2 linked regions of the Drosophila melanogaster genome follow. The protein of the gene in region 1 interacts with the protein of each later gene in a pairwise test. Each region holds a gene or a part of one and is shown on either strand. Other genes may lie near its edges. The genes, in order: CG34227 and l(2)k14505.

Region 1 (3,303 bases):
AAGACCGCAGCTTTGGTTCCAAAAGTTACAGTTGCACAAAGCAAAGATCCAAGCACAACCGAAGAAATCTCTCCACGAAATCACTGACCCGAAGTATCTGCAAGATGCGTCTAATCCTTCTGTCCATCGTTGGCCTCCTGTGTCTGGCCTATGCCCTCGCCCTGAATGAGAATGCAGCTGCTCTCGAGGATCTGGTCAATCTAGGAGCAGAACATGCCGAAAGCGGAGTGCGAGATGCTCGTGGTTAAGGTCATGGCAACTACGGACATGGCAACTACGGACATGGCAACTACGGACATGGTCATCACGGGGGTGGTGGTCATGGACATGGACATTATGGTCGCTAGTGTATTTATACATTTTTAAACTAACCCTGATGACAACACATATATTTCAAATACAATTTATTAAAATAAAGTAGGTTCTCTTCAAACTGCAATACGATGTCTTTAATAATAAAGAGGAAATCTGAAACTAATACTATAAATCAAAAAGTACTTCTTGTTCAAAGAAATCTTAAAGGTGCCAAAAGAACACACACATTGTGGTGAAATAAAAATGCTGACATGATAAATTTAAGATAAGCTGTTTTAAGCTTACTGTTTAAAAACTACAGTAATTGCACTAAAATTTTTTTAAGAATTATATTTATTAGATTAAATGAAGAAAAAACTCAAGGGCCAATGACGAGCCCCTTTTCTATATGAAAAATAAGGTAGAAGAGCTTTATTTTAAAAAAAGCTTCAGAACGTCCGATTTCAATTTTGTGGATTTTAAGTTTATTCACTAGTAAGATCCATATCCATACAAATCAGTAGGCGTGTTATTTCTTGACTCGCACGAGCTAATTTAGTCAAATTAGTTATTTGGTTATATTTTGTTTTGAAAAGTATTAGACGCCATACGGTATATTTCGATGGGAACCAGTATGACAACTCAAGTTTAACGGCTTGCACTCGTAAATCCCCAGTTGTTTACTTTTTAGATTCTAGATCAAGCAAGTCGATCTTGACATTCATTAAACAATTGAGAGCCTATTTGCATATGAATCCTTGTGAATGAGTACTATGTTAATTGGGATTAATGATTAGCAGATTTGTATTAAATATTATATTATTACACACGATATGCGATGAATAGAGGTTATACTAGACTCGTTTAAAATTATGTATGTAACAGGTTGAAGTATGCGTTTCTGATCATATAAAGTATATATATTTTTGATCAGGATCGCTATGTCTGACCATCTAGGGCAGCGCTCATGTATCAAAAGATTCTTTGTATTATTTGGTTCAACATGCACTTCTATTAGTACTAGCTAAGAAACGGGTATCTGATAGTCGAGGATATCGAATAAAGGGTTGCCTCATGTTTAACGCTCTACTCAGTATTCAACAAAATGTTATTAGGATTGACCTGACATCAACATGTCTGTTACAGTCCAGATTTAAGTCAAAGATTTGTTTATATGAAACTTAAACAATTTAAACCTACATGTAAATGGAAAGGTTTCTGTTCTGTATATTTGGCTTTGTTGATTAATAATTAATTAAATATGGCAATCGACCTGTCACTTAGCTGCCGATGCACTTTAGTAAAAACCCATAAAACAAAACAGGTCTCAATTGTTGGCAGTCAACGAATCCTAATCGAATGATCTATGTATGAAACCACTTAGGAGTAGCATCCCGACAACTTTCGCAAATGAGACATTAAAAATTTGGAATGATTCAGTAATGACAGCCAAAACAAAAAAAAAAAAACAAGAAAAAAATGGTACACAGAATAAAAAAGAGTGTAATATTTGTGTGGTGAAATATATAGCGATACAAACCAGAACCCGGTTAAAAAAGCCCCTAAACAATCGCACCTAGAGGCCAAGTAGGTATATAGTACATACACAGTATAGTACGACTATGGCAAGAGGTGGTGGTGGAGCTATTGGAGGGGGGTGCTGTGGAGAGACCCGACTCATCGATGCGTATGAGAACAGGAACGTCAAGTGGCGAGATCTTCGCATATAAGGCCCGCGATTGAGACGAACAAATCATCAGTTGCACGAGTCTGTCGAGTCTGTATCAGCAACCCATTGAATCAAGCAGAAAGCAAGATGCGTCTAACACTTCTGGCCCTCATCGGTGTCCTGTGCCTGGCATGTGCCTACGCCTTGGATGATTCTGAAAACAACGATCAGGTGGTTGGACTCCTGGACGTCGCCGATCAGGGAGCGAACCATGCCAACGATGGAGCCCGAGAGGCCCGCCAGCTCGGAGGATGGGGCGGTGGATGGGGTGGTCGTGGAGGATGGGGCGGCCGTGGAGGATGGGGCGGCCGTGGTGGATGGGGTGGCCGTGGAGGATGGGGTGGAGGATGGGGCGGTCGAGGAGGTTGGGGAGGTCGCGGAGGTGGTTGGTATGGCCGATAGAACGGCTGACGTCGCTGACCACGCCTCCGACCAATCCCACCACTTGCCAAGTCAGAAGGATACCCTGTCACCAATGTCATGGCGTGAATAAAGTACTTTGGAGCAATTAAATTTCGATTTTTATTTGGTATGCCTAACGAGTGGCGTTTTTAAACCCATTATTTACTATCAAGGGAAATATTCATAATAGAAAATCATCTCCAGTCGTCGGATTGAGCTAAAAGAAATCAGAAATCCTGGAAGCTCTCAATAATCTTCTATCCATAGGACCACTAAAAACACAGCTTCGAAGTCTTTAATAATATAAATTTTGGATCAATCTGTAATGATAGGCGGCAAAACAAAGTTCAGTGCGTCTAATTGTAGCAGAAAACTTATCTAACATCGCTGATGTAAGCCACAATTTGACCAGATCCACCACCTGCCAAGTGAAAAGGACACCCTCCCATGGGCTTAAATGTGTTATTCAGGACTAATGAAGCACTTAAACTTGATTTTCGATTCGTGTTCTTGAAAAGGTGTCAAACTGAAGTGGTGCATAGGCCTATTATTATTCCCTCTTAGGGGATATACTTATCCTGTCCAGCGTTTTAAACATACATACGCCCACACAAGCTTATTTCACTCTTCAACCGTCTGGACTTTAAAATTGAACACAGAGGTTGTTCAATATTTTCCATATTCATCAGACGGTAAAACATTAAATTCCTGTTTGTCATAATGGAACATTGGCGATAATGGAACATTGGCGATCAACCGGATAGTTTAGTAGCAGTACATTTAGACCTGTCGGTGGTTTCTCGATTTCGGTGCGGTACTTGTTTGAAAGTGATAGTAGAACGAACAGGCAGACATGCCAAGATCGAAATATATAATTC
Region 2 (3,774 bases), on another chromosome or scaffold:
ATATTGATCGTGTTCTTCTGCCGTACACCGCTTCTGTCCGTTAATGTAAACCATAAGTATAAATGAAATTAGTTAAATGTTTATTTATAAATAAAGCGCTATAATAAATTTCAATACATTTATCATAGTTAACTGATTAAGACCACTGAAATCAAAAATATTTTATTTACTAAGCAAAGCACACGCAAACAATTTATAATGTTTATTACGTTAACAACAAACTCATTTTTAATAATTCTTTATGAATACACAAAGTTACGCAATTTTCCCTCTAGGCGCATTGCTTAAATAGTTAAAGAAAAATAATAAACCCATAGCGCAATATTTAATGTAAAACAGTTTTCCTTGCGTGTGATGTTTGCTCTAGCTACGTACAAATTCATCATTTATTAAATTTAAAACTCAATTTTGCTTTTAAATAAATTTAATAAGTAAAATTCAACAATAATTGATATACAATTGTCAATGCAATATTTTGTAATAAAAATGCGAAAAATCAATATTAGTTTCACTGTTATTACGGAGCCTAAGGGTATACTAGATTCCTTGAAAACAGGTAAAAGGAAATGTTCCCAACAGCTTATTCAATCTGGCTCTGCCCTTTCGTTTGAATAAACTGATACGTCAAAATTCTTATAGAGTAAAAGGGTATATTAGATTCCTTGTTAAGTATATAACAGGCAGAAGGAAGCGTTTCCGACAATGTAAAGTATATTCTCGATCAGGATCAATGGCCGAGTCGATCTAGGTATGTCCGTCTGTCCGTATGAACGTCAAGATCTCAGGAACGATAAAAGCTAGAAGGTTGCTAGTCAGGGAAGTCGACTATAGCATTCTCTCTTGTTTTTAATCAATATTTTGCCATTTTTGATCAATTTTTATCAAACAGCGTGGCAGTTTTTTGCGGTTTTAGGGCTATAGAATGGGCGGGTCAAAAAGTTGTTTGGCAAATCGACAGAAATTTTTAAGACTAATAAAAATATGAATAAATATCAAAACATTTTTCAAAAGTTTGATTATTATCCTCGTTTTTCTCGATGTTTATGTAGGCACGCTCCATATCTGCTTTTAATCAAAACATTGAACAACACAAAAAATGTAACAGTAACTATGTTTGGGATAGAATGATTGATAAATGAGTGCTTGCAACAGGTCCTGAAATTTATAGACTGAACGGTTACCCGATATATATATATATATGTATGTATATGTTGTTAGTTATTCATTGGTTACAAATTAATTTATTTTATTGTATTGCTTATATAAAGACATGAGTTTATAATTTAATGGTGGATACAGATTTTTTCTAATTTAAAGTAGCAACCGAAAGTTACAACAAAACTAGTATGTGTAATCTATACATCCCACATTAGTAGTACAGAATAATTTAGTAATAATATATATACATACTTTATAATGGTACGAATTAATCCATTTGAAAATTTGTATGTTACAACTTTAGAACATTTGTTTGCCCAAAAATAAGGATTCATATTTTTAAATAAAATTCTTATAAAGGAATGTGTTTAGATGGTTAGAAAGAGCCACCACTATCTTAGAATATGTTGCTAAAGTTTCAGCGTTGCAAGCTTATTTCAGAACGTTGCCTCAATCATACTAACGCCCACAACTGTCACTGCTACAGTTTTGGAAAAGGTTTTGATTTTATCATTTGTCTTGCACATTGTATCGATGTGCCAAAAATATGATGAGGCCAAACATATACAATGGTCATATCCAATAGTCAGAAATTAATAAAAACAAACAAGTTTTTTAAAAATACCGCACATGCAATTAGTGCGCATAGTGACATCTGCAGTCGCTAAAAGAGACCCAAGTGTTAAAAGCTTACTCGACTAGAAGCTATAAATGGCGATTAATTCCTCTAAGGGAATACCCTCGATGTCCTTATGAAGGCAGTGGAGTAGCACAGAAAGGTAAACAGTACCTACGACTGATTTATTGAGATTTGTGGAAAAAGTACTACAGCCACACTGAAAACTCAACTCTGCTGTTAAACAGCTGAAGACAAGTAGACAGGCAGACAAACTCTAAAAATGAACGGAAAGTATGTAGTTAGCGCCATCCGAGCTCTCCGGTTGACCAATTTCAGCCAGTGCAAAGGAGCCGCTAGCAGTTTCACTGTGCGCCACTATGGTAAGCCGCGATAGCCAGAATAAAAACGTGTGTTGCCATTTCATAACATCCCGCGATCGGCGGTTCTTCTCCTGCAGCCTCTCCTCCCAAGCGATTCTACAAGAAGACTTCCGTACTGAGCGGCGACAGCGGCTATGAAGTGGTGTTGGATCACCGGAAACTGAAAACGCCCAAGGGCACACCCTTCATCGTCCGCAGCGAACCCCTGGCCATTGCTGTAGCCACTGAGTTCGACGCTCAGAAGGAAAACATCGAGCGTTCCCGCATGCACTTATCCGCGCTCTGCTTCACGGCCATTGACAATCCCAATCACCTCTCCAAGTTGGACATGGTCAACTACCTTCTCAACTTCATCGCCACAGACACGGTGCTCTTCCAGTACGATGTGAGTGAATCAACTGAGAATTAGAGTGCACATTCCACAGACATATATCTTTTGCAGGACGAAAAGGACCTGCAGGACCTTCAGGTGAATGAATGGGACCCGGTGATCGCCTGGTTCAACCAGCGCTACGACACAAACCTGCAGAAGACCATGAACATAACGCCGCCTCAGGTCAGCGAGCAGGATAAAATGAATGTCGCAAAGCATTTTCAGTCCTACAGTTTGGAAACTCTGCATGGTAATGCAGACCATAAGTCTGGAGTTCAACGTCTATTAAATATATTTTCCTCCAGGCTTCATTTTCGCTGTGGACACCTTAAAGTCGATTGTCCTTGCCTGCGCCGTCATCGAGCAGATGCTTACCGTGGAGAAGGCTGTGGCCCTGGCGCGTCTAGAGGAAGAATACCAACTTAAGTTCTGGGGTCGCGTGGAGTGGGCACATGATTTAAGCCAACAGGAGTTGCAAGCACGCCTGGCGGCTGCCGTGCTCTTCGTACACCTTAACTGTTCGGAAAACCTTGTTAAGCAAAAGATAATTCTTTAAAATTAAAATACCTGTTCAACATACATATGAGCTGACTACCACAGGGTTATGGTAGCACGTATGTAGGTCTCCTAGGACCTAGGACATAATAATAGATGTATATAAATCGTGCCTAGTTTGAAACTTATCAAGGTCAGGTCATCCTCCCTTTTTTTTTAGCTCTTACCGGTTTTTTTTTGTTGTAATAATACGGTTTATATTATCATTTTTTCATACTTTCTTTAAGCACGAAAGTAACATACTCTTTTGACGTCTCTTATAACACAACTGAATTTTAGTTCTGATTTTAATTAGTAAGCCACAAGGATTCTGGTACAGCAATACGTGGAGGCAGTGAACATAAGGAAGTACATTAAGTTTTTTGGAACTACACATGTACAAATGTGTAGGATATATGTAACATTTTTAAATTTGAATGAGATTACTAAATTTTAGAAATATTTAGTTTGTTTAATCCTAATTTAAGGTTCGGTTTTTTTGCACCTTGACATAGAACCCTATTTTTGGAACCCATTGGCAAAACATGGACATTTATTTATCTTACTTAAGAAAAAATTAAGTGCTAGTGTAATAGGCGCTTAGAGGAAGTCTCAAAAAACAAAAATAATTAAGCAATTTTTTTTCGTAGGTGTGGTATATTCTGATAAATACTTGCTTGGTATTTTAAAATAGTTACGGTACAGTCCTA

What was found.
Region 2: the proteins of CG34227 (region 1) and l(2)k14505 interact in a two-hybrid assay, tested with the Drosophila melanogaster proteins (one large-scale study listed by BioGRID).

The regions. Positions count from the first base shown.
Region 1 is NT_033778.4:11,246,078-11,249,380, forward strand, and holds CG34227 (uncharacterized protein), read left to right. Parts: upstream 1-2,048; 5' UTR 2,049-2,110; coding exon 2,111-2,425; 3' UTR 2,426-2,533; downstream 2,534-3,303.
Region 2 is NT_033779.5:21,259,178-21,262,951, forward strand, and holds l(2)k14505 (lethal (2) k14505), read left to right. Parts: upstream 1-1,990; 5' UTR 1,991-2,057; coding exon 2,058-2,157; intron 2,158-2,234; coding exon 2,235-2,542; intron 2,543-2,599; coding exon 2,600-2,780; intron 2,781-2,835; coding exon 2,836-3,086; 3' UTR 3,087-3,234; downstream 3,235-3,774.